4 linked regions of the Diceros bicornis minor genome follow. The protein of the gene in region 1 purifies or fractionates together with the protein of each later gene. This does not show direct contact. Links are inferred from orthologs where the notes say so. Each region holds a gene or a part of one and is shown in the gene's direction. Other genes may lie near its edges. The genes, in order: EEF1A1, TUBB, EEF1G and EEF2.

The links.
Region 2: the proteins of EEF1A1 (region 1) and TUBB fractionate together in Homo sapiens (co-fractionation; 3 studies listed by BioGRID). This does not show direct contact. The link is inferred for Diceros bicornis minor from reciprocal best matches to the Homo sapiens genes EEF1A1 and TUBB.
Region 3: the proteins of EEF1A1 (region 1) and EEF1G purify together in Homo sapiens (affinity purification with mass spectrometry; 5 studies listed by BioGRID and IntAct, counting the BioPlex papers as one, with this or other methods). This does not show direct contact. The link is inferred for Diceros bicornis minor from reciprocal best matches to the Homo sapiens genes EEF1A1 and EEF1G.
Region 4: the proteins of EEF1A1 (region 1) and EEF2 fractionate together in Homo sapiens (co-fractionation; 3 studies listed by BioGRID). This does not show direct contact. The link is inferred for Diceros bicornis minor from reciprocal best matches to the Homo sapiens genes EEF1A1 and EEF2.

The regions. Positions count from the first base shown.
Region 1 is NC_080762.1:56,999,087-57,006,835, forward strand, and holds the start of EEF1A1 (elongation factor 1-alpha 1), read left to right. Parts: upstream 1-4,747; 5' UTR 4,748-4,817; intron 4,818-5,572; 5' UTR 5,573-5,606; coding exon 5,607-5,750; intron 5,751-6,051; coding exon 6,052-6,231; intron 6,232-6,348; coding exon 6,349-6,645; intron 6,646-6,723; coding exon 6,724-6,874; intron 6,875-6,963; coding exon 6,964-7,220; intron 7,221-7,307; coding exon 7,308-7,542; intron 7,543-7,653; coding exon 7,654-7,749. UniProt on the Homo sapiens protein: Translation elongation factor that catalyzes the GTP-dependent binding of aminoacyl-tRNA (aa-tRNA) to the A-site of ribosomes during the elongation phase of protein synthesis.
Region 2 is NC_080753.1:34,399,954-34,407,854, reverse strand, and holds the start of TUBB (tubulin beta chain), read left to right. Parts: upstream 1-4,890; 5' UTR 4,891-5,051; coding exon 5,052-5,108; intron 5,109-6,533; coding exon 6,534-6,642; intron 6,643-6,986; coding exon 6,987-7,097; intron 7,098-7,392; coding exon 7,393-7,901. Other genes in the region: MDC1 (mediator of DNA damage checkpoint protein 1), read right to left, coding at 52-190, 1,923-1,925. UniProt on the Homo sapiens protein: Tubulin is the major constituent of microtubules, a cylinder consisting of laterally associated linear protofilaments composed of alpha- and beta-tubulin heterodimers.
Region 3 is NC_080770.1:10,513,727-10,521,230, forward strand, and holds the start of EEF1G (elongation factor 1-gamma), read left to right. Parts: upstream 1-4,497; 5' UTR 4,498-4,526; coding exon 4,527-4,538; intron 4,539-5,636; coding exon 5,637-5,795; intron 5,796-6,480; coding exon 6,481-6,544; intron 6,545-6,701; coding exon 6,702-6,844; intron 6,845-7,504. Other genes in the region: TUT1 (speckle targeted PIP5K1A-regulated poly(A) polymerase), read left to right, coding at 1-439, 1,052-1,161, 1,327-1,437, 1,605-1,697, 2,106-3,253. UniProt on the Homo sapiens protein: Probably plays a role in anchoring the complex to other cellular components.
Region 4 is NW_026691553.1:3,036,147-3,044,086, reverse strand, and holds the start of EEF2 (elongation factor 2), read left to right. Parts: upstream 1-4,938; 5' UTR 4,939-5,038; coding exon 5,039-5,041; intron 5,042-6,059; coding exon 6,060-6,274; intron 6,275-7,258; coding exon 7,259-7,440; intron 7,441-7,514; coding exon 7,515-7,726; intron 7,727-7,940. UniProt on the Homo sapiens protein: Catalyzes the GTP-dependent ribosomal translocation step during translation elongation.

The DNA.
Region 1 (7,749 bases):
GCATACCAATTGAGGCCAGGCGTTCTTCAGAAAGCCTGTAGAAATTCGGTTTTAACTAGATAACTGAGGGGCCAGCTCAGTGGTGTAGTGGTTAAGTTTGGCATGCTCTGCTTCAGTGGCCCGGGTTCTTGGTTTCAGATGCCGGGCACAGACCTACGCCACTCATCTGCCATGTTGTGACGGCGTCCCACATATCAAATAGAGGAAGATGGGCATGGATGCTAGCTCAGGGCCAATCTTCCTCACCAAAAAAAAGAAAAGAAAATAAATTAATTAATTTAAAAAAACAAAACTAGATAATTGAGTGTCCCCATATCTTTTCACATCATTGCACATTAGAACTGTGAGGCAGGTGCTAAGTGTGAGTAAGGAGCAGACCCATGCCACAGATGCCCTGCTGGCTGTCACAGACCTGGAAGCAGAAGAGCAAGCACTGAGTCCCAACTTTCTGACTCCAACCCCACCGCCATTTTCACTCGAGCAGGCTGCCTAGACCCGCTGGTACAAGTTAAGACTAACTTTCCTGTCAGATTACCTGGGTTCCAATGCTGCCCGGCTGGGCTTTAACGTACTCAAAAGAAAAGATCTCCAAGATATATTAAATGAAAAAAGCAAAGTGATATGTAGTACTTTACCATTTTGTGCAAAAAAGTGAAACTTTAAAAAAGAACGTATGTCTGTATTTGCTTATTACGCATAAATTATCAGTTGCCTACAGGTTCTCCATCAGTAAACAGTGGGATTACATTAAATATTGCAAATATTAGAACAGTGCTTGGCACAGCGAAGTAACATTATGCTTGGATTCTCAGTCCAAATAATTCCTTGGCTTAATTATATTTTAAAATACCCTTTACGGGGCTGGCCCAGTGGTGCAAGCGGTTAAGTGCGAGCACTCTGCTTCAGTGGCCCGGGGTTCGCAGGTTCGGATCCTGGGCGCGCACCTATGCACCGCTTGTCATGCCATGCTGTGGCAGCGTCCCATATAAAGTAGAGGAAGATAGGCACAGATGTTAGCTCACGGCCAATCTTCCTCAGCAAAAAAAGAGGAGGATTGGCATCGGATGTTAGCTCAGGGCTGATCTTCCTCAAACACAAAAAAAGAAAAAAAATACCTTTTAAATGATCATTTTCAATTGGCACAGGCAACAGGAAGGTGGCAAGCCACAGCAAAACGTAATTACCTAAAGCTGCTTTAAAGTAAGCCCAATAGCAGAGTGATTAGCCAATACCGAAAGATGCTTGGTGAATCACAATTAGAAACATCAAAGAACTATTACTGTTCGCCCTTTTACTAAGTTAATAACTAAAATCCTTTTTTAGAGTTTGCTACTCTAAATAGTATGAGCAACTTTAAGGAAAATCTTAAGCAAAATATGACCTTAGATTATGACCCCAAAACACATTTACAAGTCTCAACAATGTTACCGTTGCGTTTTAACATGTAAGTTAGTAAAAGGCATAATGTATCTGCTGTCAAGTCGGACAAAATGCGCTACGATTATGTTTAACACATAGGGCCTGGGGAAAGGGACTTTTTAAAAAGAAAATAACATCTGCTTCAGTGTTTTAGAGGCTACGCCGCGGTGACGAAACCGACCCCCCCAGCCACGCGGGGTTTTCTGTCTCCTCCCCGGCGCTTCCTTCCGCAGTCAGAGGACCGCCCAGAGGGACCTCCGGGGGGCGGCGGGGGCGCGGCGGCCGGGGCGCAGGTGTGGGCGCGGCGCGGGGCGCCCGACAGCAGCGCCGCCCCCGCCGCCGCCTGGTTCCGGCCCCGGCCCCGGCCGAGAGCAGAAGTGGGGGCCGGGCCCTGAGAAGAGGCTGTGACCCGTGTCCAACCCTTACTCACAATATGGCTCCAGACACGCCCCCCCGCCCCCGCCCAAGTCTCGGCGGCCCTCGCACCAGTCAGTGGTGCCCGGTAGGTTACTTACACAAAAATCAAAGACTATGTATAACTTTGCTCTTCCTTAGGTGCTGTGTTAAAGAATTCTCTAGAAGGTGTTTATAAAGTGTATACTCTCACCTGCAATCACCGGGCCTTGCGGAAAACTTGCCTATAATCTGGGATAGCTTTGGAGTCAAACTTCTTCAATTTTCCTTTCTTTCTGGGCATAATAATGAAAATTCAGCTGCCATTATTTGTTCCTGGAACACTTTCGGATCATTTCATTACTTTAATTATACTTGGAATGTTGGATTTCTTTTTTTCACCATCCAAAGCAGTCAAGGTGCAACTAGGAAAATGAAAAGGTGACATCTGAATCAGGACCTGTAGTTTTTATAAGCTCCTGTGGAAATGTTTGTGGTCATCTCTTAAAGAATTCCCGTGTCCGACATAGTGCTGAATATACACACACATCTACAAAGATTACTATTTAAATTATAGTAGGTCTATCTTTTCAAACAGAATAATTCACCTGAAAGCATTATCTCTCCAATTATCACAATTTTAGTATTATATAAAAGTACTTGAGTTTGCACTGTCACATTTTAATGAATTGTGCATATTTCACAGAGATCACTTTTTTCACTTTTATTTTACTGAACTGAAATTATCTTTGATACTTTTCCCTCTTACCAACATCCACTTTCATTTTGACTTTTTTTCCTTAGATATTAACTACAATTCTGGATTCCATGTAAAACTTTCAAATATTCAACTTGTAGTCTTCTTTAGTCTTTGCTTCCTTCCCTCGTGTCACTAAATAACCATTTCTTTACATTTTTAAAATTTTGCCATTCCTATTAGAAGGCATGAAAAATAATAAATCTGGCACTTTGATCTTAATCTGAAATAACACAGTGTGCAGTTTATATTTCTGTGATATACAAATATGGCTTATGTGGGAATCTAGTTCCAAAGAGAACAGTAATTAATATTTCCAAGGAAATAAGAGCAGAGGTATTTGCATTGGTCTATTGCTAGGAGTTGATTTTCACTGTTACTTCTTACATCTTTATCTTATTACACACATGGACTAGCATATCAAGATAATTTTATTCTACATGTATATAACTGGGTAAGGGCACTAGGAAAATGCAATGTGAAAGAAGAATTTGTGAGAAGAGAGAAATTAGAAATATAGACATAGAAAAGGCTTTTGTTGCTAGAAAAATATTAGTTATATGTATTTCTAGGGAAACTTTATATGGCCTCGTTTCTTTCATGAAAACTATCTCCAAGTTCAAATGAGAAGGATAGAAACCTAATGAAGAAATGGAAAAACCTGATTTTTAGAAGTTTATATGTACAAGGAATGGTTAAAAAAAAAAAGATAAAGGAAGGCTATTCTAGAAGGCTTCTTTCATTTAAAAAGAAAAAAAGGCATTTAGATTGTGAGAACTGAAAGAACTATATTCTACAATGAAGTAGTAAGCAGCATACAAGTTTGTCTTTAACTGCTTCCCAATTGTTTTATGTTTGTTTTCCTCTTCCAATTTGATTGTGGGTTCCTCTCCAAAAAGAAGTATTTCTTTTTCACATGCCACAGAGCTTCGCTTAGCACTGGACACTTAGTAGCTTCTCAAATATTTAATAGATTGCCTCGAGAAGTTGCAGAGATGTTCTATACGTGGAAGAAAAGACATAATGTTCTTGTAATTAGCTCATTAAAAATACACGTTCTTATTTCTTCAGAGGAGTATTTCTCAGTCTGCCCTGATTGTCAACCAAAAAGGCCTCATCAGATTTCGCCCTAGATTTATGCTAAAATTCAGTTACAATCAATAGGACAGAAAATGAAGCCATTTATTTAAATAGGATAGGCCATTTTTGAGAAGCAGTGATTTCACAGCAAGTGTTGGGGACAGGAAAACGCGGAGGATAATCTTGCTGAGGCTGTAGCTCTTAGCCTCTACATGAGATCATGTGGCAAGACTGAATTTGAAAAATTCTTTTTGGGTATTTCATGCGTGCAATCGAGTGTACAGTGGAAAAAAATGTACCACCAGGGTAGACACACACACTCAGGGTCTCTTTTGTAACAAAACTAGAGTTAGAAGTAAAGCAAACTGTAGGCATGAACTCTGTTCTGAACTGAAACACTGGGCATGTGGAGACCACACCGGGCGAACATGTGATGCGGCCTTCGATAAAAGCAGCTGGCTCTGAACGGAACCAGCCAAGAGGCCAGCCCGGGAGCACATCCGTCGGGCTCACAGCCTCCAAGCTGAACCGCGGGCGGCTCTCGGACCGGGCAGGGAGCCCCCGGGTCTCGGGCCTTGCACTCCCCTCAGGTCGGGCGGGGCACGGAGGGCGGAGGAAGCGGCTGGAGGGGCTTGTTCCGGACCCTCGAGAGGGCAGGACTGAGGACGGTAGGTGTATTGCGGGATGAAGGGACACCCCAATATCGATACCATCTTTGCAGTTAAACCAGGAATGGTACAGGAAGATTATGGACGTGCCCGCCAGCCGCCTTCTCGCCGCCGCACCCCGCGCTGGTGCTGAGAGTAACTCATACAAAAAGAGGACTCGCCTCTGCCTGGGGGAATCCCAGGGACCGTCGTTAAACTCCCACTAACCTAGAACTGAGGGCGCGTGCGTCCCGGTCCTCCCGGTGGCTCTCGTCGTCATCGGGGTCGAGAGGAGCATGCGCGAAGCGAGGTGTGCTCTTCAGCGGGTTGAGCGCACATGGCGCACGGTCCCCGAGAGTGGGGGAGGGGCTGCGAGTGCACTGGGCGGCGGCGCGGGGAGAGCTGGGAAAGCGCGTCGTGTGCTGGCCCCGCCCCCTTTTCCGAGGGGGGGAAGACCGTATATAAGCGCCGTGGTCAGCCTGAACGTTCTTTTTCGCAACGGGTTTGCCGCCAGAACACAGGTGAGCGCGAGTGTGGCCTCCGGGCCGGGCCTGCGCGGCGGGCCCCGGCCTCGCGTGCCTCTCGGCCGCCGTTCCGCGGAGCCCCCTCACGCGGCTCCTGACCTCGAACTTGGGGCTGGACGTGGTGCGGTTCGCGGCCTGGGCTTTTCCGGAAGGCCCTGCGCCTCGTGCTGGGGTTGAGGCCTGGCTCGGGCGCAGCGCCCGCCGCGTGCGGGGCCCCTGCTGCCCTCGGGTGAGGTCCCCGGCCGCTTGAAGTTGAGAAGACACCACGGTGTCCCCCGCGGGTGGAGTGGCCGAGGCCGGGCCGGATCCCGCCGTGTGGGCTCGTCCGCGTCGTCGGGTTGCCGGGCGCGGGCCGCCGCGAGGCGCGGAGGGCGGGGCCGCTCGTGCGGGCGCGGGCGGGGGCGGAGGGAGCCCGGGTGCGGCGGGGCGCGCCGGCTGCGCGGCACCAGTTGCGTGCGCGGAAAGATGGCCGCTCAGGCCCTGGCGGCGCTCAAAATGGAGGACGCGGGCCCGGCGGGCGTGAGTCACCACACAAAGGGCCGGCGCCGTGCCCCGGCTCCCGGCCGCCGCCCCCGCGGTCCTCGGCCGGGGGGAGGGGCGGCGTGGTCGGCTCCGCCGGGGCTGGAGGCGAGAGCGGGGCCAGTGGGGCGCTGCTGTAATGCAACTTGGAGTTTGCCCTTTTGAGTTTGGATCGTAGCTTTTTTCAAGCCTTTGGGACGGTGACTTAAAGTTTATTTTTTCTTTCAATTTAGGTGTCGTGAAAACCACCGCTGAATCTAAGCCACAATGGGAAAGGAAAAGACTCATATCAACATCGTGGTCATTGGACACGTGGACTCGGGCAAGTCGACTACTACTGGCCATCTGATCTACAAATGTGGTGGGATCGACAAAAGAACCATCGAAAAATTCGAGAAGGAGGCTGCGGAGGTAGGTATCACTAACAGGTGAATGAGAAGTCTACTGCTGAAGACGTTAAATGAAGATTTTGAAAAATTATTGTCACTAGCCTAGATATTTACGTCACACTGGATAAAAACGGTATAACCTAATGTTTGCTGTTGAGTCAGTTTTGTAACCATGTTTTGAGAATAAGGGAAAGCCACTTAGATTTAGCCATTGTGAAGAGGAATCGAGCATTTCTAGCTAGATAAGTGCGGTAAGGAATTTCAAGCTGGCATTTGATCGTGTCTTAGTTAGCAAGTAACCATTTTTAATCCAACCCTAACAGATGGGAAAGGGCTCCTTCAAGTATGCCTGGGTCTTGGATAAACTGAAAGCTGAACGTGAGCGTGGTATCACCATTGATATCTCCCTGTGGAAGTTTGAGACCAGCAAGTATTATGTGACCATCATTGATGCCCCGGGACACAGAGACTTTATCAAAAACATGATTACAGGCACATCTCAGGTTTGTAGTTTTAATAACTATCGGCAGTAACTCTTGGTTTGTCTTATACATTGAAAACATGGTGTTGTCTTCCTTTTGAAGAGCTTTAACAAGGTATGGCCTTGTTTTCTTTAAAAGGCTGACTGTGCTGTCCTGATTGTTGCTGCTGGTGTTGGTGAATTTGAAGCAGGTATCTCCAAGAACGGGCAGACCCGTGAGCATGCCCTTCTGGCTTACACACTGGGTGTGAAACAACTAATCGTTGGTGTTAACAAAATGGATTCCACTGAGCCACCCTACAGCCAGAAGAGATATGAGGAAATTGTTAAGGAAGTCAGCACCTACATTAAGAAAATTGGCTACAACCCCGACACAGTTGCATTTGTGCCAATTTCTGGTTGGAATGGTGACAACATGCTCGAGCCAAGTGCTAACGTAAGTGGCTTTCAAAGCAGTTGAAAAACTCTGAAAGGGGCAAGTTTCATGGTAACACTAATTGACGTTGTGTTGCAGATGCCTTGGTTCAAGGGATGGAAAGTCACCCGTAAAGATGGTAATGCCAGTGGAACCACACTGCTTGAAGCTCTGGATTGCATCCTGCCACCAACTCGTCCAACTGACAAGCCCTTGCGTCTGCCCCTCCAGGACGTCTACAAAATTGGTGGTAAGTTGAAACGTTACTGTCAGTGTAATTTGCATGGGTTGCTACTTGGTATGTGGTGTGTTTATGATACTGTGTTGTAAACATTTTAGGTATTGGTACTGTTCCTGTGGGCCGAGTGGAGACTGGTGTTCTCAAGCCTGGCATGGTGGTCACCTTTGCTCCAGTCAATGTTACAACTGAAGTGAAGTCTGTTGAAATGCATCATGAAGCATTGAGTGAAGCTCTTCCTGGGGACAATGTGGGCTTCAATGTTAAGAACGTGTCTGTCAAAGATGTTCGTCGTGGCAATGTGGCTGGTGACAGCAAAAATGATCCACCAATGGAAGCAGCTGGCTTCACAGCTCAGGTAACACTTTAAAGTGACACATTCTCATCTCTTGCCAGAACTTTAACTCTCTTTGAGACACACTGAAATGCAAATCTTTTCTCCAAGGTCATTATCCTGAACCATCCAGGCCAAATCAGTGCTGGCTATGCACCTGTGCTGGATTGTCATACAGCTCACATTGCTTGCAAGTTTGCTGAGCTGAAGGAGAAGATTGATCGTCGTTCTGGAAAGAAGCTGGAAGATGGCCCAAAATTCTTGAAATCTGGTGATGCTGCCATCGTTGATATGGTTCCTGGCAAGCCCATGTGTGTTGAGAGCTTCTCTGACTATCCTCCTCTGGGTAAGGATGACTGACTGACCAGTGCACTTAGGAAGTTTTACTAAAGATGGAAAATAATTGCCTTTGTCTTACCAAGAGTTTCTAATAGTAATGTAAAATTTGTTTTAATAGGCCGTTTTGCTGTTCGTGACATGAGACAGACAGTTGCTGTGGGTGTCATCAAAGCAGTGGACAAGAAGGCAGCTGGAGCTGGCAAGGTCACCAAGT
Region 2 (7,901 bases), on another chromosome or scaffold:
TACAAAAATAAGAGGCCTATACCAGTACTTCAGCATCCAATACCCTCTGACCTTTTTCTGGTCCATAGGCACTACTGAAGATATGCAGTCGCCCTACGGGCGCCAAGTTACACCCCAAGGATTCACTGGGTCTCTCTGTCTCCTCCTCTTCTTCAGCCTCCCAGTCAATAGCCTGAGTGTCCTCCATAATCTGGGAAGGAAACACATCATCATCTCTATTATTGGTTCACACACACAGCCTCAGAGAGAAGACTGATAACCGGGGTAAACCTGGATAGTTATGGAGGTTCATGCTTCTCTTTCCGCCGATCATTCCGTGGTTATCTTTCTGAAGCATTTAAAAAATATTTTTGACCACGATACAGAATAAGAAATAAATATCATAAGGTCCCAAATATATACAAACACACGTGCTTATTTATACAGACAAATGTTTTGAGAAAAACTGCCTAGCCTTACTATATACAACACACTGATAGCTTCATTCTATTTTTTTCTGTTCTCTATTTTTAATTTTTTTAATTTTTTGTTTTTTGTGTGTGAGGAAGATCAGCCCTGAGCTAACATCCATGCCAATCCTCCTGTTTTTGCTGAGGAAGACTGGCCCTGGGCTAACATCTGTGCCTATCTTCCTCCACTTTATATGGGACGCCGCCACAGCATGGCCTGACAAGCGGTGCGTTGGTGTGTGCCTGAGATCCGAACCTGGGCCGCCAGAAGCAGAGCCAGCACACTTACCTGCTACGCCACGGGGCCAGCCCTATTCTCTATTTTTCAAATGCTGATTTGCAACCCACTAAATTGATTTCACTATCCACTATTGGGTTGCAACCCATAGTTTGAAATACACCATTTTAAAGGGAGCTAACTTTTGCCAAGCATCAACTATCTGTCAGGCATGGTGTTACGTGTCAGGCATGGTAATGATATGAGGCAGGCATTTAGGAATCTAAGGCTAAAATATTAAGTAATTTGCTGCAGATAACAGCAGGTAAGTGGAAAGGACAGGAATAAAGGTGCTTCTGGCTGCAAAGCCCATGCTTTTTACCCTTTACCAGACCATCTCAGTGTGATCAGACTAACTGCAAAGAATCATAATAGCTGACATATATAGATGCTTGCTACGTGTCAAGCACTGTTCTAGTTACTTTGCATGGACTGACTCATTTAATCATCACAAGAACCCTACAAAGTGTTATTATTAACTTCTATTTCTCAGATAAAGAAACTGCAACATAGATGGGTTAAGGAAAATGCCCAAGATCACCCACATGTCCCTCCCCTGTTTAATACATACACATATTTTTTTGGTGAGGAAGATTGGCCCTGAGCTAACATCTGTTGCCAATCTTTCTCTTCATGCTTGAGGAAGATGGTCCCTGAGCTAACATCTGTGCCAATCTTCCTCTATTTTATTTGTGGGACGCCTGCCACAGCATGGCTTGATGAGCAGTGCGTATGTCCGCACCCGGGATCCGAACCCACAAACCCAGGGCCACCGAAGTAGAGCACCTTAACCACTATGCTACCGGGCCAGCCCCTGTTTAATATTCTTTGATGGCTTTCCATGCCCACAGGATAACATAAAATCTAAACTCCTTAGCAAGACCCTCTATGATCTGAACTTCATGTCCTGCAATGTATGCCTCCCCTCAAGCCTATGGTTCAACCACATGAATCTTCTCCCTACTCTCTGAACACACTGTTCCTGTTGTCCCCCACATCTGCATGCCTTATCCAGCTCCTTGGCCCTTTGCTCCTAGTTTTCTGGTCTAACTCCTACCCATCTTTTACAATTCAGTTCAAATGTCACTTCCTTAGCAAAGCCCTTCCTGGAGTCTTGCCTGCTTTCTGGTGTTCCTGGTGTATCGTACGTGTTCCACAATGGTGAAAGGACTTGAAACTATCCTAACACTTCTCACCATATTGTAACCGTTACTTTCCCTTTCTGCCTTCACACATCCCTTCGAGAACTGGACCAGCAGAAGTGTCTTTTCCCCTGGGGTCCATCATATTCCTTCAAGAGTAGTCATTGTGCACCTGGTACCGTTCGAAGTATTCAGGATATATTCATGAACGAAACATAAAATTCACCCTGCCCTCCTGATGAAAGAACAAATGAAAGATGAAAACTCAAAATAGCAGGGACGGAACTCACTTAGCAAGATGCCACCCTAGAGGGAAACTGTTGACAGGAAGGGAAAGTGGGACGCCTCCTTGGAGATAGTACCAACTCCGTCATTAAGACTGGCGAACTCAGCGGGTGCCCATGACCCTTGGCTCCAATCCAATGGGCCACCATCTTTGATCCCCATCCCAGTGGGTTCCCTCCTGGCCTAACGTCTCCCTGTGTCTTCATACCTAAACTCGGGGAGGGGCGTCAAGTAAAGATGAATATTATAATCCGAGAAGCAAACTTCCAAATCTCCTCCGCCCAGTCGCACCCAAGGCACGCCCCTCCCGCCCTCCAGGAGAACCAAGATGGCACCCGGGGAGCTGTGGGCAAGGCCCCCCAGAACTCACCTACTTTGAGTCCCCGCGCGCGCCACCAGTAACGGCCGCGGGCCGGTGGCGCGACTGCTCGCGCCCGGAGGGAGCCGATTCTCTGATTGGCTCCCGCCGCTGTCTTTCACAGTCCTGCGGCAGGCCGATTGATCAAATATCCAACGCGGACGCACATCCATAGCCCCGCCCCCATCCCCGCCCAGCCCCCTCACCGCTCAAAGGGGCGGCTTCTCTCAGGGGCTTGAGATCCGTTGTGCGAGGCGGTAAGCAGAGGCCGCCCTCCGCGCTCAGAATCGCGCACTCCGATTGGGCAGTTGCGAGGGACAACCCACTACCGCCTCACCACCCACCGCCCACTTCCCGCGCAGATTTCCAAACCGCGACCACAGAGTCTGGTTGCCGGCGCGGATAGAGGGACTTACCATAGTCGTCGCCCGATGCGTCTAGTGCGGCCAGAGCGCCCTTCCTCAGTCCTCCCAGACATGGTGTCCGCTGACTCATGAGAAGTGAAAACGGGTTGCGGGTTGCAGTCGTGGCCGGAGGCTGCAGTTTGGAGAACTGCCCGTAGGCGTGGCGCTTGAGGACTCCTCATTGCAATGGAAGTTCATTTCTTTTTGATTTGGCTTGTTTAGTAGAAGTCATGTCATTTCCTCCTTGAGAATACATCCCTGATAGACATTTTGAGGTCATTTTCCTAAAGCAAAGATCCCTAGGCGAACAGAAAGAACTATTTTGCTAACCATCTTAAAGGCTGACCGAGGTCTTTCAAGGGGTTAAAGAAGAATGATAAAACCATTTATTTCATCATCTCATACTAAGACAGAAGAGGATAGTAACAATTTGACATGTGTATGATTTAGGAAGTCCTTTTGCATTTTATCTCACTTCAGCCTGACCACAGCAATCAAATAGGCAGAAGTAGATTTTACAGAGGGAATTGAAGCTCTGCGAAGGTGAATGACTTGCTTAGGTTCCTACAGCTAATGTAAGGTAGAGAAATTGAAACGTCCGCTCATTCTAAATTCTGAACTCTCTCCACTGCCACAAAATAACTACTTTCATTGTGACCATGCCCTAAAACATAAAACATTTTATTTTGAGTGGGTAGAGGGGTCTTACACAACTTGATATTCTTTTATTTAGGTGACTGAGAAATGTGTGTTGAATCCAATGTGAATTATCAGTGATGACCTTGATATCACATGTCCTGTATTATGGTATTACCACACTCCATTGTTTATACACTTCTCACGAAACTGCAAGATCCTGGTAGGCCAGGGAGAGAATTTTTAATCGTTTTTGTATCCCTAGCTCCTGGTTTGGTGGACACTTAGTATCTATCAAATGAATTAATGCCTGAGAAGAAACATGCGGCTCTGACTTGAGCCCGTCCAATTTTCTCCCATCCATCTCCCTCCCTATCCCCCTTTTGTTCAATCCTGGGGTTCTTGAAAGGTTGCAGTGGCCAGCCAGCTGGTCAGTGAAATCAGCGAACTGAAAAAGGCTGGAAAGACACTGAAATTCTATCAGGCATCCCACCCCATAGTTCTGTTTGACAAGACCACAGTGTCTTCAACGCTGCTCTAAGGCCCAGATCCCCTACACGGAAGGAAACTTCTGGCTTCACAGATCCCAGATATCAGCTTCTCTAAACTATTCAACTTATTCTCTGAACGTAACCTCCGGACAATTACATCTCTATCCTGAAAAGCCCCTGTTGCAATTTTGTTTCTCTTTCAAAATATTATCATTAGAAAACTCCCAAAGAAATAGGAGGGCAATCCCCTCCTTCTTCCTGAGTATCTGGGGGAGCGGCGGCTTACTGGAGTTCATGCCTTGGGTCACCAAAGGACCAGCTGTTAGATAGCAGAGCAGGGTGCCGCATTTCTCCCCAGTTTTCGCTGAGCTAAGCAGTCCTGTCTTCCCAAGAGCTACCGCCGCGGGGAGCTTTCAGGGCGTGCCCACTCCTTCCAACGCCTGGCACTCCAGGGGTCCCAAATCCTGTATCCCCGAAAACGACGCTCTTTTTGTACAAAAAACTCAGGCATAGAGGAAAGAAATCGTACGCAAGGTCATTTTTTCATAAAATACAAAAAAAGTCCAAAACCAAAAACCCGGTACCCACCCATTCGTCCCTTCATTTTGCAGCGTGGACAACAATAGAGGACTACAACTCCCAGAGCTGACTGCGTTCGTCCACTCGCGCAGAGACCAATGGACGTCTGATACATGACCAGCATCGACTAATCAGGGCCAGCCTCGATGAAGCTTTGTCTCCCCACCGCGGCGCGGAGCGCGTTCTCCCGCCTTCCCACCCCGGCGCAAGCGCGCCCCGCCCTGCCAGCCTTCCCTCCTGCGCCCTCCCCTCTCCTTTCTCCCTCTCAGAACCTTCCTGCCGCCGCGTTCGGACCTCGCTGCTCCAGCCTCCGGGGCACGTCCCATCCTTCCAGCCTGCGGCCAGCAGCAGAGAAAAAAAACCCCACATATCGTTTTCTTGCCCCGTACACACCTTGAGGCGAGGAAAAGAATTAAAATAAATTTTAAACATGAGGGAAATCGTGCACATCCAGGCCGGTCAATGTGGCAACCAGATCGGTGCCAAGGTAAGGATTTTAAACCTCTTTTAACTATATTTCTTTTTCCGAAGGAAAAAACCCGGACAAATGATAAAGAGTGGTTGTAGGACATTTGCACTCTTCATCTTTAGCCAAGCTTTGCCAAAAAAAGTTTTATATATATAATACCCATTTGTTGCTAGAATTTGCTCTTAAGAAAATGGGGAATGATTTTTTTTTGGCAGGCTCATTTTGGGGAAGCCATTAAAAGCACCCTTCAGATTTAGGGGGCGGGAAGACCGAGGTTCTGCAAGCTTTTACTTAAAGAGGATCTCCTAACGGTCTGAAGACTGGGGAGGGAGGGACATGCGGAAACAGTCCGAGACAAAGCGAGGCGAGGTTTTCCCCGGGTGCATCTCCCTTGGCGGGGCTTTATGTGGCTAAGCCGGAGGAGGAAGGGACGAGGCTGGGCGGGCAGCTGCAGAGAGCTGGGATCCCAAGGTGGGGGACGCGGTGGGCCACTGGGTTGCACTACGCGTTACCATTCACAAAAGATCGGGGCTCTCCGCGCGCCCGCGATCCCCGAGGGGCGGTCCGGTAGTTTTTCGTGGATGGAAGGCTAACATGTGCTTGATTAATTTTACTTTCTTTGATTTCCCCTTAAAAGAGACCCTTTTAGGGAGTGAACAGATGAGAAAGAGGGCGGGAGAAAAGGAGGGGGTCGTTTTCTTTAAAGGGTCCCTTACGACTAAAGGATGGGAGAAAGGAAGGTGATCCTCATTTAAAGCAAGGGGGGAAAAGCGAAGGAATAAAATTCGAGGCCAAGGGGGGATTTTTTTTTTCTTTTGCGCGCGGTTACAGTGTAGCGGGGGAGGGGCGGGAGGAAGTGCGGCTGCTACGTTGTAGCAGAAGGGCGGGGCCCGGGCGCCCCTTGGCGCGCCGGGACAATGCGGCCCTGAGGGCCGGCCGGGGGCGCGCGAGCCCGAGCCGAGCCCCGCCCCTGGCGCGCGGAATTCGCGCCTCGGCCCCGCCCACGCTCGGCGCCTCTTTGTTGGCTGCTCGGCGTGCGCGTGCGCCGCAGTCACGTGGCGGGGGGCGGGAGGTGGTCGACTGCTGCAGCGGCTCCTTTCTGCGTCTCCCTGGCTCTTTGTGCGCTGCGTGGAGGGGCGGTGCCCAGCGTGGGGGGGGGCGGGGAGGGGCTCTTATCCAGTCTACTCTGCCGCCTCCATCCTCTCACCCCGGTTCCTGCTATCCCCGGGCACGCCCAGCCGCACATCATCTCATCCCAAGTAGTGGAAGCTGCGGCTTTCCCGGGGGTGCGGTGTCTAGGCGAAGGGTGGGGCAGGCAGATAGAGGGGATGCCGGGCCCTGGAACAAGACCTACCACAGGCGTGTCTGGAATTACAGTGGTTGCGAGGAGGCATAATTGGTTGGGACCTGAGCCATTGAGGGTTCATTGCTCTCCCCCGACAGTTCTGGGAGGTGATCAGTGATGAACATGGCATCGACCCCACCGGTACCTACCACGGGGACAGCGATCTGCAGCTCGACCGCATCTCCGTGTACTACAATGAAGCCACAGGTGAGGGCAGGAGCCCGGGAAGCTCGGGTCCCATCTCCTCTCCCACTTCTCTGGGGTTGCTCTTCATCCCTGGAGACCCCTTTACCCTTTTGGATGAATGCATCTTTTTGTTTTTGAGAACTTGATTTGATTCCCCACCATCTTGGCGAAAGACTGGCTCTGCTGCCACCTGGTGGCAGCGCCTGGAACCAGAAGTTTGGGCCCCGACTGTCTGCCAGCCCCGATTTATTTTTTTTTTTAATTTTTTAATTTTTATTGAGGTGACGTTGGTTTATAACCCAGCCCCGATTTGTTTACCTTATTCCTGCCTGCCACTTTTCACTCTTCTACTTTCTTCCCTGTAGGTGGCAAATATGTTCCTCGTGCTATCTTGGTGGATCTGGAACCCGGGACCATGGACTCTGTTCGCTCAGGTCCTTTTGGCCAGATCTTCAGACCAGACAACTTTGTGTTCGGTGAGTTATACGCATTAGTAGATACCGTCATATTCACTTTATTTGGGTGCAAGGAGACAGCAAGAGATTGGAGACGATTGTTGTATGGGAGAGCTTGTTCAGGGCTGTGTTCTGAAATCTGTAATGGAGTGTGAAGTTGGGAGTGCCCTAGATGGTAATTATGGGGGGCATGTATCACAGGTGAGCGAGACAGAAGATACATCTAAGGGCATTATTCCAAAAGTTGGAAGGTGGAAATACGGTCTTGCATCTTCCACACTTTACTAATCAAGCTTGCCTCCTGACCCCATTCCAGGTCAGTCCGGGGCAGGCAACAACTGGGCCAAGGGCCACTATACAGAGGGGGCCGAGCTGGTTGACTCGGTCCTGGACGTGGTTCGGAAGGAGGCAGAGAGCTGTGACTGCCTGCAGGGCTTCCAGCTGACCCACTCGCTGGGCGGGGGCACAGGCTCTGGAATGGGCACCTTGCTCATCAGCAAGATCCGAGAAGAGTATCCTGACCGCATCATGAACACCTTCAGTGTGGTGCCCTCACCCAAAGTGTCTGACACTGTGGTTGAGCCCTACAACGCCACCCTCTCCGTCCATCAGTTGGTAGAGAACACCGATGAGACCTACTGCATTGACAACGAGGCCCTTTATGACATCTGCTTCCGCACCCTCAAGCTGACCACACCAACCTACGGGGACCTGAACCATCTCGTCTCAGCCACCATGAGCGGAGTCACCACCTGCCTCCGCTTCCCTGGCCAGCTCAATGCTGACCTCCGCAAGCTGGCAGTCAACATGGTGCCCTTCCCACGT
Region 3 (7,504 bases), on another chromosome or scaffold:
TGGACTCAGCCCTTGCGTCCCCAGTGGATCCTCAAGCCCTGGCCTGCACCCCAGCCTCCCCTCCAGACTCGCAGCCTCCAACCTCTCCCCAAGATTCAGAAGCCCTGGACTTTGAAATCCCATCTTCCTCCCTGGCACCACGGACTCCGGACTCTGCTTTGGCCTCTGAGACCCTCGCCTCTCCCCAGTCCCTGCCTCCAGCCTCACCACTGCAGGAGGACCGGGGCGAGGCGGACCCGAGGAAGGCTCTGGAACGAACGGAGGCCCTGAACGGGGAGAAAACAGAGGGCGTAGCCATGCTGGAGCTGGTGGGATCCATTCTTCGGGGCTGTGTCCCTGGAGTGTACCGAGTCCAAACAGTGCCCTCTGCCCGACGTCCTGTGGTCAAGTTCTGCCATCGGCCTTCAGGTCTCCACGGTGACGTCTCCCTCAGTAACCGGTACCTTTGTTTAAGAGGGTGGTTGGGGAAGGCCAGCTGAGCATTCTGGGGTGGCTGAGGAGGGAGCCCTGGTGTGGGACTGTCCTGCATCTCCTGAGCCTCAAGGGTATCCTTGTTTGGTCCCATCCCCCTTTCTGCCACTCATCTCCTTTCTGGCTTCCACGTCAATGTTCGTAAAGTGTGTTTCTTAGAATACTGTTTTTAAGAGATTTAGAAAAGAGTTCCATGGTTGAATATGTTTGGGAAATGCTAAGTTAAATGCACAGGTTTCTTCCTTCCCCCTCCTCCCCTACTGCCTCTTTCCTTCTCTTTCTCCTGTCCTCCCATTCTCCCTCCCTTCCTGTCTTTGTTGCTTTGCATACTAAAGGCTCTGAGCAGCCTTATAATAACATGCTCTGTGAATGTCCGAGACATTCTTAGGATGTAGTGTTTCCCAAACACATTTGGCGTTTTGTACATCCTCTCACAAGACCAGTGTGTCAGCAAACACTTTGGAAACCCTCTTTTGGCCTTATTTCAGCTGGCCCCCAGTGCGCAAGTCTGGAGTGAGAGCTGGGGATGATAGGTCAGAGGGTTCCCAAGTCCTCACACCCTTGTCTCCCTTTGTCCCAGGCTGGCCCTGCATAACTCCCGCTTCCTGAGTCTCTGCTCTGAGCTGGACGGACGAGTACGGCCCCTCGTGTACACCCTCCGCTGCTGGGCTCAGGGTCGAGGGCTGGCAGGTGAGAATGAATCAAGACAGACTTGGGGCTGGGTTGGTGTCAGGGCAAAGGCAGGGATTCAGGGAGAGAAAGACAGGCAGGTACAGGAACCGGGGTTGAGAAAACCGCCAAGGAGGGGATCGGAGGCACCTCTAATCTAACTGGAATTATTGATTATTTACCCAGGGAGTGGCCCCCTTCTCAATAACTACGCCCTGACCTTGCTCGTGATCTATTTCCTTCAGACCAGGGACCCTCCTGTGTTGCCCACTGTGGCCCAGCTCACCCAGAAAGCAGGTACAGCAGCCCAGCCTCCACTTTCGATCTTGTTAGCTTTCTCTCTCTTCTTCACCTCGCTTAGATACACTAAGCTACCCTGGGAATCAGATGTCTCTGCTATCACCCTCGTTTCCATCCCCATTTTCCTGCTTCTGGACTGACTCTCACCTTTTTTACTTTCACAGGTGAGGGTGAACAGGTAGAGGTTGATGGCTGGGACTGTAGCTTCCCCAGGGATGCCTCGAGACTGGAGCCCAGCACCAATAAGGAGCCCCTGAGTGAGTCTGGGGAGCCTGGTAGAGGACTAATAAATGATGTTAATCACAATAGTAGGAAACATACCTCCCACAGTTACTGTGTGCCAGGCATGGCTCTCACAGCAACCTCGTGTGAGAGCTAATATTATTGCCATTTGACGGATGAAGAAACCATGCCTTGGAGTAATTAAGTGGCTTGCCCAAGGTTACACTGTTAGCAAGGGGAAGGAGCAGCATCTGGGGCAGGACGTGGCTGGGGGCACAGGGAGAGAGGCTTGACCTCTTGTGTGTAGGGATCAGAGGAGCCTGGCTTCTGGGCACTCTTCTGAGCCCCTTGGAAGGGAAAAAGAAAGTCCTGCTGAGGGAGTGGCTCTGCTGCAGGGCTTATCTCAGCTGTGGCCCTTTTCCCTGGTTTTCCTCTTGCTCCAGGTTCCCTGCTAGCCCAGTTCTTCTCCTGCGTCTCTTGCTGGGATCTTCGTGGCTCACTGCTGTCCCTGCGGGAGGGTCAGGCACTGCCTGTGGCAGGGGGCCTGCCCTCTAATCTCTGGGAGGGTCTGCGCCTTGGCCCCATGAATCTCCAGGACCCCTTTGACCTGAGCCACAATGTGGCAGCCAATGTGACCAGCCGGGTGGCCGGGCGGCTACAGAACTGCTGCCGAGCAGCAGCCAATTATTGCCGAAGCCTCCAGTACCAGCGCCGTTCCTCCCGGGGTCGGGACTGGGGGCTGCTCCCCCTCCTGCAGCCCAGTTCCCCTAGTGCCCTGCTGTCTGCAACACCCATCCCCTTACCTGCTGCTCCCTTCACCCAGCTCACTGCTGCCCTGGTCCAGGTGTTAAGAGAAGCATTGGGGTGCCATATAGAACAGGGAACCAAGAGACTGCGGTCAGAGGGAGGTGGAACTGGGGAGTCTCCCCAGGGAGGGACAAGCAAAAGATTGAAACTAGATGGAGAGGAAAAAAGCTGTGAGGAGGGGAAGAAGGAGCAGCAGGAATGTGCAGGGGACCACCGCGAAGATGGGGTGGAAGAAATGGTTGTAGAGGTTGGCGAGACGGTGCAGGACTGGGCCATGCGGAGCCCTGGGCAGCCAGGGGAGCTGCTCCTGACAAGCAAGCATCTAGCCACGGGAGAAGAGGGGCAGTCAAGCCATGTAGCGCTGGCAGAGCAGGGGCCCCAAGGACCTGAGGTGGCCCGAGAAGGGTCCCAAGGTGAGACAGGGAAGGGGGTGTTGCTCTCCTCAGTGAGCTGGCGCTGTGCCTTGTGGCACCGAGTGTGGCAGGGGCGGCGGCGTGCCCGGAGACGCTTGCAGCAGCAAACCAAGGAAGGAGGTGGAGGTGGCGCTGGCACAGGAGCAGAGTGGCTGGCGACTGAGGCTCGGGTGACCCAGGAGCTGAGAGGACTGAGCAGTGCTGAACAGAGGCCAGAGGCTGAGCCGCTTCTGACCTTTGTGGCGGCTGCCTCCCAGGCTGACCACACTCTCACCGTGACTCCACTCCGGGATGCCCAAGGCCTGTTCCCTGATCTCCATCATTTCTTACAGGTTTTCCTCCCTCAAGCACTTAGAAATCTCCTAAAGTGAAGACAGGGCCCTAAAGGGCAATAAAGCTGCTAGTTTAATAAACACTACAGTTGCCTCTAATTTCTACCCGGTAATAACCCTCTTCCCACCCAGTACTTCCCCTCCCCAGAAGTAATGCAACCTTCTCAGAGGTGCCTTCTCTGGCCAGTACAGCAGGTCTCGCCCTGCTCCTCCACCTCAGCAGCCCATTTCTGTCCTGCGTACCATTTATCACAACTGCAGGGAGTGCCTAGGACCGTGTGAGTCAGGCTCCTGGAGCCCACTCAGTTCTGGAACTGTGGTGTACTGGGTGGGTGGGTTGAGTAGCACCTGTGAGAGGAACCAAGTCTGCCTCCACACTGACCTTACTTCCCAGATTTATGAATGGTGACAGGGCCTGAAATTTGGGTTCAGGGGCTTCATTCTCTCACTTAACAGGAGAATTCATCCTGTTCTTAAATTGGAGAAAAGATTTTCAAACCTGAACATGGGTAAAGGGCAACCCATCAGAATCTGTCTTAAATTGTCAGCCTCCCCCCAGGGTGACAGGTGGAAGGGATGCGGCTGGGCTCTCCCTTGGGCCCCTCCCTCCTCTGCCGCAGGCTCCAGGACTAGCGCCGCTTCTTCTCGAAGTAGTAACAGCGAGGCGCTGCAAGGTGGCTTATGGGAGAAAACCCCACTTTTACAGAGGGTTTCAGACTTGGGCTCCGGTTAGATACACGTCCTCTGCGCTAGAAAACCACAGCGGGAACAAAAGGAATTTGGCGAGCCGCCACCTCCGCAGGAGTTGTTTCTGCTCCAGCGAGTGTCACACAATCATGGTGTTAGGGGCTTGGCAGGACGTGCCATCAAGTCACTCGTCCCTAGGCATCACACTGCGGGCCCGGCAGGCCGCAAGAGAACGCCTCCTCGGGGACCGGCGCCGCACAGGGCTGGCAGCTGTGCCACGTAGCCGCCAAAGGGCGCCTTGCCAGCTACTTCTCACAGTTTCCCCTCCCTCCGCGCCCTCTATCTCCACCTCGGGACTCCGATTGGCCGTATCTGAGGGGCGGGCCAGCCAGGAGCCCCACTGCGCAGGCGCGAGCCGTTTCCGCGCAGGCCAGCAGGCCCCGCCCCTTCTTTTTCTAAGCCTGTCGCCGCGGAATACCGAACTGTCGTGCGTGTGCCTTCTATGCCGTCCTCGCTTTCCGGCTGCTGTCTCTCCGCGGCTCTCCCTTCCCCCCTCCCTTCCCTCCCTGACGGCTTACTTTGCGGCAGCGCCGAGATCCCCACCCCCTTTCTCTGCGGAATCACCATGGCGGCTGGGGTAAGTTTGCCGGCTCTAGCGATCCAGTCACCCTATCCGACGCCATCCTCTGCCCGAGTGGGGCCAGCCGGCGTCAGAGGAGTTCTGGAGCCGAATGGGGGGCTGACCCAGGATCTAGAGACCGTACTCTTGGAGAGCAGGGCTTCCAAGGCTCCGGAGGGGAACTGAGGCTGGGGCTTTCGGAGGCCAAAGAGGTGGAAGGGTCTGGGGCAGAGGAGAAAAAACATGCCGGATCCTGACCGTCTGGGGCCAGAGCAAGGGGTGCGGGTTCATTGCCGCCTCGAGACGTGGGATCCGGGCAGGTTGACAGAACTTTTGCGACCGTTTTGTGGGACAACAGCAGGGACGGGGTGAAGAGGAGGGTCTTTGTGGGCTGGCCTCAGTTAAGGGTCATCCATCAGGGGGGTTTGGGAGCGAGAGGAACCTCCGGACGGTGGAGTCAGACCAGTCGGACCCCGCTGGTCAGGTTAATAGAAGGGGAAAAGGCAACACCAGGGAACTCACTGCGGGACGGGACGGGAGTGATGGTGCGCGTGACAGGAAAGAAAGGCTTTTTAGGGAGATCGAGTTGATTTAGGAAGAGGAGATGCCGTTGGAGATCTCCGTGGCTATTTTGGGGGGAATTTGGGAATGTCGTGGTCGGAGTGTGTGTGCCTTGGAGACGAGAGTGATGCTCAGGAAGGAGTGAGCGGCTCAGCAGTAGAGTAGCAGGCACCGGGAAACCATCAATGAATGAAACCAGGGCTCGGGGAAGGGAGGGGCGGATGCTTGGCGGCAGATGGAGTCCTTGGGACCTAGGACTTCTGGATTTCTTGGAGATAGATTTGAGGGGAAGAGAATCCTTCTGGAGATGTCCTTATGGAAGGTCAGATCTGTCAACAAGCTTTATTTAGCAGTTGATGTGTCGTTCTGTCCTCTGGTATTTCGGAGGGCTCTGATTACACATGACAGGTACTAAGGAATTCACTTCACCAGAGGAGTAAAGGAGTGGGTTGAACAGGTTGGGATCACTCAGGGAAGTCATTCTGGGAGGTGACACTTAGGACTGGAACCCTTCTACTCACACTAATATTTCTTTGCCTCCTCTTTCTGGCACAGACCCTGTACACATATCCTGAAAACTGGAGGGCCTTCAAGGCCCTCATTGCCGCTCAGTACAGCGGGGCTCAGATCCGCGTGCTCTCCGCACCACCCCACTTCCACTTTGGCCAAACCAACCGCACCCCTGAGTTTCTCCGTAAATTTCCTGCCGGCAAGGTGAGTAGGGAAGTGGAGAAGGGCCTTGGGTCCTGAGAACCCGAGGAGCCATAAGGTTCTGTCACCTTGAAGATGGCCTCCATCTTTTAAAAGGGAGCTTTCCATGTTATCTTTTTTTTTTTTTCACATTTTGGTGATTTAAAAAAACTTTTGTTTGGAGATAATTGTAGAGTCACATGTAGTTAGAAATAATACAGTGCTATTCAGTGACTTTATAAAATTCACAGGCTTACTTTGTGTTTCTATGAGAGAGAATGAGTTTTGACTGTTTTCAGTGCAAATATACTGAGCAGGATTCTTCCCCCAAGGGGCTTACAGAGATAGATCACTGTGCTAAGAGTAGAAGAGACCAAGTACAGTGTGTAGAGTGCTATAATACTTTGAATAATATAGACAGCAATAGAAGACTTGGCTTCTGGCCTTTTGCTTTATTTGATTGAGGAGTTTTATACAAATGTTTGATGATAGCTAAATCTTTTGGGTTTCTTGTGTGAGTTCAGATTGTAAGGGGTACCAAGTTATTCAAGTATTTTTGGTTCCTGAGTTTCAGATAGTATGATGAGTTTGGTTAGTAAGAGTTGTCAGCCTTATATAAAAACTTGTATCCACAACAGTGCAGTTCCTGGGATTGGCTAGTGAGAGATGACTGTGTTTTTTACTTATCTTTTGTCTGCTTTGTCCCCAGGTTCCAGCATTTGAGGGTGATGATGGATTCTGTGTGTTTGAGAGCAATGCCATTGCTTACTATGGTAATTTGCAGTGGATGTGGAAATGGGAGGGTCTGGAGGTGAGGGGTGTAGGAGAGGGTGCGGGTGAGCCACAGTGGACACGGAGAGGAATTTTCAGGGACCTGGATTGGTGTTGGCATGACTCCAAAGTTTTGACCTTTCTGTTCTGCCTCTGCAGTGAGCAATGAGGAGCTGCGGGGAAGTACTCCAGAGGCAGCAGCCCAGGTGGTCCAGTGGGTGAGCTTTGCTGATAGTGACATAGTGCCCCCAGCCAGTACCTGGGTGTTCCCCACCTTGGGCATCATGCACCACAACAAGCAGGTGAGCCTTGAAACTTGGGGAGAAGCCATGGGCAGGGACTACATCAGCTCCTGAGTGATGGGGACTAAGAAATAGGTTGAGAAAGGTACCAATAGTATCTGGGTAATGAGAAGACCTAATCTTCGGGGTGAAAGTTTGGAGCGCTGGGCTGTTGATGGTATCTGGGTTCTTTGTCAGACCCAGTGGATGTGGTGTCTGTCATGCATGGTCAGAGGAGAGAGCGATTTCTGCTGTAGGAAGGATATACCAAATGGTGGGGGAGTGGTTAGATCAGATGACCTCTAAGATTCCTTCAAGAATCGAAAGATATAGGGCTATGGTTATTACATTGGGAATGAAGCCAGACTGCACCATGAAGAAATTTAACACTGAGAGAGCTCAGTTCGTGATACATTTGGAATGATCCTAGAATCTGACTCCATTGAAGGGGTGGGGAGGGATGGGCTGGGACTCAGTAACTGAAAAGCTACCTTAGTTCCTTTATTGGGGGGGAAAGGGATTATTTTCTCTCTGATCTTGGCAAACTAAAAAATGGTAAATGAGTTTTTCACGAATCTGAGTTTAATTTAAAGGACTGTCTATTCTGAAATTGTTAGGCTTTTTTTGCTGTTGAATGTTCTTTACTTTCTGAATGATAAGTTTGATCCTTTTAAATCAATA
Region 4 (7,940 bases), on another chromosome or scaffold:
ACGCTCTTCTCCTAGAGCAAGGGGGTCACAAACTACGGCCTGGGGGCAGTATCTGCCCTGCTGCCTGCTTTGGCATGCCCCGTGAGCTAAGAACGGTCTTTACATTTTTAAGTGGTTGCAGAAAAAAAACAAATCAAAAGAAGCATCGTTGTTCTAAGAATGATCTTTACATTTTTTAAGTGGTTGGGGAAAAAACATCAAAAGAAGCATCATTGTTCGTGTACATGAAAATTGTATGAAATTCAAATGTTAGCGTCCGTAAGTAAATAAAGTTTTATTGGAACACAACTACGCCTATTTATGTGTGTCTGTGGCTGCTTGGTGCTATAAAGGCAGAGTTGAGGAGCTGTGATTGAAACTGTGTGGCCTGAAAAGCGGAAATATTTTCTACTTGGCCCTTTAAAAAGTTAGCTGACTTTTGTCCTGGCCCATCCATCTAAAGAGCTCCCTCTTCTTTTTTTTACACTCCCTCCCTGTGTTACAGGTAGTGGTACAGAGAGCCACACTGCATTGTTTCTTCACTGTGTCTCCCACCCCAGGACCCTTGCACTTGCTGTTCCCTCTCCCTGGAATGCCTCCTTCACTTTTGCTCCTTGGATGCATTCTCATCTCTCAGGTAATAGTTTAAGAATTACCTCCTGGGGCCGGCCCGGTGGTGCAAGTGGTTAAGTGCGCGTGCTCCACTGCGGCGGCCCAGGGTTCGCTGGTTCGGATCCCGGGCGCGCACCGACGCACTGCTTGTCAAGCCATGCTGTGACGGCATCCCATATAAAGTGGAGGAAGATGGGCGTGGATGTTAGCCCAGGGCCAGTCTTCCTCAGCAAAAAAAGAGAATTGGCAGATGTTAGCATAGGCCTGATCTCCTCACAAAAAAAAAAAAAAAAGAATCACCTCCTCCGGGCAGCCCTCCCTGACCCCCCAGGCTGGATCATAGCCCTCCCTGTTCTACCCTTTCCTTCGCTCATTCTCTCTCTCCTTCCTAGCATAATTTGAAAGGTTCAACTTGTGCAAACATTTGATTGACTCTTTCCTCCACCAGCCCATCAGCTCCCCGAGGGCAGGGCTTCTGTGTTTCCACAGGCTCCCGGAAACATTTGCTGGACCAATGAGCACCGGGTCTGAGGGATGTGAGGAATTCCAGGCGGAAGGGTTGAGCTGGGCTGCAAAGCCGATGGGTTTATTTGCAGGCGGGGAGGGGCGGGGCCTGGTGGAAAGTCCCCCAGCTGGGAGGTCCCAGGGGCAGTTTACCAGCAAAGAAATGCAAAACTGTTTGCCCAGGGCTCTAACCTAGTCCCTAAGGGCGTGCTGGGAGCCCTCGAACTACCCTCACCAGCTTTTCCCCGGACCCCCTGTTCTGACGATACAGCCTCACCAGATCTCCCTAAATCCCGTTTGCTCAACCATCCTTGAGAGGACCATGACACCGCTTCCTGACGTTATTTGTGGGAGAATTCACTGCTCCACTGCCCAGGGCATCTAGTGGGACCATCTAACGAAGACCTGTCTGCAGTCATCGGCCCCTGAAACCAAGCAAAAATCAGTAATACTGGTCCTGTCTTTATTTCAAATCTGGATGCTCTATTCCTCAGGGACTTTTGGCATTCTTCGGGATTTAAAAAAAAAAATGGTATTTAAATATTATTATCACGATGACCGAGTTTTTCGGAGCCTTCTTAACGCCTCACTCTCCTCACCCCAGACCCAGAATGTAGTAGGTACTAATCAATGCGTGTAGCAGGAATGGTTGCAATAAAATCTAATATTTCTGTCCCATTGTAGGAGCTGTTTTAGTCCGCTAGGGCCGCCACAGCAAATACCACAGCCTGGGCGGCTTAAACAACAGACATTGATTGTCTTGCGGTTCTGGGGGCCAGAAGTCTGGGATCAAGGTGCCGGCAGGGCTGGTTTATCTGGAGGCTGGGGGATGGAGGTCTTCTCTCTGTGTTTCCACATGATCTTTGCTCTGGGCTTGTCTGTGTCTTCATCTTACCAATACTGCTCGTGTCCTATTGGATTAGGACACGAGCCATGATGACCAGAGTCCCACCCTAATGACCTCATTTTAACTTAACTGCCTCTTTAAAAACCCTACCTCCACATATAGTCACATTCTGAGGTCCTGGGTACTGGGACTTCAATATATGAATTTTAGGGGACACAATTCAGCCCGTAACAGGAGCAAACTCTTAAATAGGGAATACTGTATGCCAGGTATCAATTTCTTTAAGTCTCACAAGAGCCCCATAATAAAATAGGTTCTGTTATTCAGTATTTTACATGCAGAGTCAGAGGCTCAGAGAGGTTAAGTAACACACCCAAGGTCAAACAGCCAGTGAGGGCAGAAGCAGAACTTAAACTCAAGATGTCTTGCTTTGGTTAACCAAATCTGAGCTACGTCTAGGAAATAGTAGTGTGGCAGAATTGCTCTTTGATTAAACCATGCCTTTTTAAAAAAATTGTGGCAAAATAGACATAACATAAAATTCACCATCGTAACCATTTTAAGTGCACAGCTCAGCGGCATGAAGCACATTCGCATTGTTGTGCAACCATCCCCACCATCCGTCTCCAGAACTTTCCATCTCCCCAAACTGAGACTCTGTCCCCATGAAACACTGACTCCCGTCCCCTCCCCCAGCCCCTGGCCCCACCATCCACTTTCTGTCTCTGTGGATGTGACTCCTCTAGGAGCCTCCTGTGAGGGGACCACACAGTGTCTGTCCTTCTGTGTCTGGCTCATGTCACTGAGTGTCATGTCCTCAAGGTCCATCCATATTGGAGCAGGTGTCAGAATCTCCTTCCTTTTCAAGGCTGAGTAATATTCCATTGTATGTCTATGCTACCACTAAACCATGCCTTTTGAGTCGCTTGGTTTGGCTCTAATTAGCTGTGTGACTTTGGGCAAATCTTAACTTCTCTGGGCTTCAATTTCCTCCAGCTTAAACGAGCTCACCAAAAGCCCGGGGTTGGGGGGAGAGGATTAACTGAATTAATTGATTTAAAAGTCGGTGGCTGGTATCTAATGAGCGCCCCATAAGCATCAAAGGGCAGATCCAACGGGCTGCAGTGGTGGCCGCTGGCCAGCAGGGGCCGCTGCCGCCGCTTCCGCGCCCTCCCCGCGCCGCGGGGGGGGGGGGGCGGGCGCATGCGCAGCCGAGCCTCCCTGCAGAGGTAACTTGTTTCTCGAGGTTCTTCCCCGCCCTTTACCCTCGCCTGTATTTATGACTGCAGACCTTGAACCCGGCTGTGGCTGCTTCTGCTCTCTGCTGAAGCCCCAGCCCCCCACCCAGGCTTCTGCTAAACGTGGGTCTGGAGATAGCAGTGGGGAGAGGTCCTCTGCCAGTATCTGGCCCCATCCCTGCTGCCGTGGGGCTGAAACACCTTTTAAGCTTAAAAAAAAAATTATGAAAAATGGGAAAGTGGATACCCATCTGCTGAAAACGCGTCCTCCACACGGCGCATGCGCTTGCCTTGTAAAATTAACATAAAACTTGTCACGAACACAGGTGTAGGTGTTTAAAGACCCCCCCCCCCGATGGAGCCCGGGGAACCGATATCTGCTGCCTGCCACTCCCTCTGCCGTTCTGAGCCTCGATCATTCCATAGATGTTTATTGAGGAGCTCCTCCCTGCCTCAGTTTCCCCCCTGGGAACGTGGGGGTGATAGCAATCATTGATTAAAGGAAATCAGGGCTGTGACAGAGCTTTAGAAAGCAACATGCGAAAGCATTTGCGGGAGGGAGGAGCGCACAGGCTTATTTTAGAGTCCAGACGCGAATTTGCATCGCTTTCCGCAGACGCGCATCTCCTCTGCTCCCAGCGCAGGAAGAGCCCCGTCGTCTGTTTCCTTTCGACAAGAGCGAGTTTAGAGGAAGCTTTACCAAAGGGGGTTTACTCGCGCTAATGAGAATATCATTCATTGATGCAAGAAATACTTACGTACCAGGCATGGGGCTGGACCCGTTACAAAGGAAAAGGTTGCTGAGTTGAATGCCAATTCTCTCCCTCGAGCCAAAGATCGGAAACACAACTGTTTCTTAGGGTCAGATTAGGACACGAATGCAAAACAGTCTTCCTGCGCCTCCCCCTGGAGACGAAATGAATAGAAAAAGATTGCGCAGGGGAGGAAGCGCTTAGCCCCGTGCCCGAGACACGGCAAACCGGGCCCTGAAGTAAATGCTTTATTAATAGCAGTGATAGCTAATTAAAATAGCTGAGGTGTATTGAGAACTGTGTCAGGCGCGGCGCTAATCCCTTTATGTGTGTTTAGTTAATTTAACTCTCTCCCCAAATAGTGAGGGAGTACTGATTATCCACATTGTGCGGACGGGGAAACTGAGGCAGAGAACACGTAAAGTGGTGGAGCTCGCCTAGCAAGGTGCTTTTTTAATTGCTAAATCCACACCTATAGCAATGCCTGGTATGGTCGATGCTCAATCCGTCTTTCTGGAGTAAATGATTAATACCTGCTTTTAAAAAGCTTTTTATTTTGAAATCATTACAGACAGGTAGTTGCAAAAAGGGGACAGAGAAGTCCCGAGTACCCTTCCCCCAGCTTCCCCCCATGGTATCATGTTCCATAACAATATCAAAACCAAAAGACTGGGATAATCCACAACCTATTCACGTGGAAATTTGCTTTCAATAGAAGTGCTGGGCGTTTTGCGAGCTAATCTAGTTGCTTTGATGAATATGCTCAGCTAAAACGGCGCTCTTCGCTTTGTGCCCCTGAGTCCCCGAGGCGTGTACCCACCTCGGGGCAGACCACCGCCCCGAGCAAACCCAGGCGGGGAACGCGGATCCTAGAGCATCCACGCCGGCGCCCAAGGGGTTAACCCGAGAACCACGTCCCTGCGCCTGCGCGCGGCGTCGCTTCGCCCCGCCCCCGCAGCGCGGTCAGATGATCCGCCCAACCGGCGTCGGCCTATAAAAAGGCGGGGTGTTGACGTCAGCGTTCTCTTCCGCCGTCGTCGCCGCCATCGTCGGCGCGGCTCGCTTCGCTCGGATCTGCCTGGGAGAATCCTCCGCCATCCGCCACCATGGTGAGCGACGCCGCCCGGCTGGCGGCCTGGGACGGCGGCGGGGCCTCCGCGGGGTTCGGCGCTGCCGAGCCTGGAGCGCTGGGGCCGCCCGGCTCGAGAGAAGACATGGCGGCGGCGGCGGGGCCGGCGGGCCCGGGGCTGGGGAAGCGGCCGCCGCCATGTCTGCGCGCCGCGCTGCCCGCCGAGCCCCTTCTCCGCTTCCGGGGACGCCGCCGCCTCGCGGGACCCCCGGCCCGGCTGGAGCGGAGGCGGAGGCGGGGAGCGGGGTGTGTGATGATGTGGCAGACGCTGTAATGGCGGCGTCGCGGGGCGAGCGGGGAGACCGGGGGCCGCCTTATGTAATCCGCGGGCCGCGATTTTGAGATCGGTTTACTGTCGGGGGCCGTGGGCGCCGGCGAGGTGACAAAACGAGGGAAGCCTGCCCTGTAAAGCCCCCCGACTCCTCCTAATCTTGGTCTGGCTCCTTGGCCTTCCTTTGCCTCCCGATCGTCAACAGCTGACCCCGGAGCCACGAGGGGGGCTTGCGCGTGTGCGCGCTGCGCAGGCCCCCCCCCCCCCCCCCCCCCGATCGGGGGTGACATTTAGGACTCTCATGCGGTGGGTGGCTCTGTCTCAACCCCAGCCAGAGAGGTGACCTTGGACTCTAACGAGGTCCTGTGTTTGGGGGAAACCTGGGGAGGTTTTGGGGGGCTTCATCCCTCCCGTATCCTTTAAGTGGACCCCGTGACCTGCCATATGGGTGCCCCACCTGAGGGAAATCTGTTGTCACTCTTGGAGAGTCACACGGAAGCCCCTATTCCGAGTTGTCATTTCTAAGTGACAGCTGGAACCTGGCCTTTCAGAGATGAGGGCGGGTGGTATTAAAGGAGTGTCACGGAGAGGCGGGGGCGTTGGGGCTGCCCCAGGACCAGCCCACTCCTGGCCGCGGGCCTGGCATACCCTATCGATCGCCGCGCCAGTGCCAAGCCTGGTTCCTGGACACAGGGCCGGCCTGAGCCTCCCCTCCCCCCTGGCGCAGGTGAACTTCACCGTCGACCAGATCCGGGCCATCATGGACAAGAAGGCCAACATCCGGAACATGTCCGTCATCGCCCACGTGGACCACGGCAAGTCCACGCTGACCGACTCCCTGGTGTGCAAGGCGGGCATCATCGCCTCCGCCCGCGCCGGGGAGACCCGCTTCACGGACACCCGGAAGGACGAGCAGGAGCGGTGCATCACCATCAAGTCGACGTGAGCAAGCCCGGCGTCCTCTGGACTGGGGAGGGAGGAGGGGAGGTGGCTGTGGGGAGGCTGGAGCGGTCCCCGGGGGTGGGGAGACACACAGCAGACACCGTCGCTCTCCGGGGAGCCTCTTGGGAGAGGATGAGTCAGGCACCCGGGGGCTGGCGTTTTGAGCTGTGAGGGAGGGTGCAGTTCAGCCTAATGGGAGTCAGGAAGCTGTGAGGCTAGTGGAGGCGCAGTGATGGGGAATATTGGGGGGTGGGGGCCTTGGAGAGGAAGGGGTTTCACCGGTGGTTCCTCTTCCCGGGGCCAAGGGACCGGTGGCAGTGTCTGGAGAGGTCTGGGAGGAAGCCACTGGGCCGTAAAGATGCTGAGCATCCTTTGCGGAAGTGTCCTGGGTCCAGGTGTCAGTAGGGCGAGAACCCAAAGCAGTGACTGTAATTGTCAGTTACCTTTGGTGGTTAAGTCGTGAGGTTCTTCTGGGTTTTCTGGTCTGAGTCGTTTCACCTGGGCTGGAGGGAGAGGAACTGGGGAGGGCTGGGTTGGTGAAGGATGGTCTCAGGTTTGTGGTCTCACCTCACCTGATGACGTAGTTAACTTTTGGAATCAGAGGTGTGAACCTGGGAGGGATCAGGGCGGAGGCTCGGTAGGTGGGCTCGGGGGAGCCGGCCTCTGTGGCCGGTAGCAGGGAGGGGGCGTCCCTGGCAGAGGGTGCTGCCTGGGCAGAGTCCTCTGGGTGGGCTGGCTGCTGTGTGGGCAGTCTGAGGTCTGTCTCCGGGGTGAGTAATTAACGCAGGGGGAGGGACTGGGTTGCAGGTCTGCTCCGGGCTGCGGGCCTGACTCTTCGCTGGGTCTCAGCCTCCCTGAGGGGTGAAAAGCCCCCATCCTGACTCCCCTGGGTCAGGAACTCGGCCGACCCCAGGGGTCCTAGGAAGGGTAGTTAACCAAGCTGAGCTGTGGCTTCCCCCCAGCTAAACTGTGCGCTCTCCTCAGGGCCATTTCCCTCTTCTACGAGCTCTCGGAGAACGACCTGAACTTCATCAAGCAGAGCAAGGATGGCTCTGGCTTCCTCATCAACCTCATTGACTCCCCCGGGCACGTGGACTTCTCCTCGGAGGTGACAGCCGCCCTGCGCGTCACCGACGGGGCGTTGGTGGTGGTGGACTGCGTGTCAGGTAAGCAGCGGGCCCCCCGCGCGCCCGGGCCCTGGGCTGTCCCCACCCTGGCTGACAGCCACCCGTCCCGCCAGGCGTGTGCGTGCAGACGGAGACGGTGCTGCGGCAGGCCATCGCCGAGCGCATCAAGCCGGTGCTGATGATGAACAAGATGGACCGGGCGCTGCTCGAGCTGCAGCTGGAGCCCGAGGAGCTCTACCAGACCTTCCAGCGCATCGTGGAGAACGTGAACGTCATCATCTCCACCTACGGCGAGGGCGAGAGCGGCCCCATGGGCAACATCATGGTAGGTCGGTCGCCCAGCCAGCTTGCCCCGTCTCCGCTGCTGTTCTGGCACCTCCTGCGTCTGCTGGGTGGGCTGCGACCTTCCACGGGGGCTTTTCAGAGCTGGAGGTGGGTTTGCCGGGGACATGGGGTGACGGCAGGGGATGGAGTGTTTATGAAAAGGACTTCACGTAGCACTTGGCCTTTCAGGGAGGTGGCACAGCATCTGTTTAGGG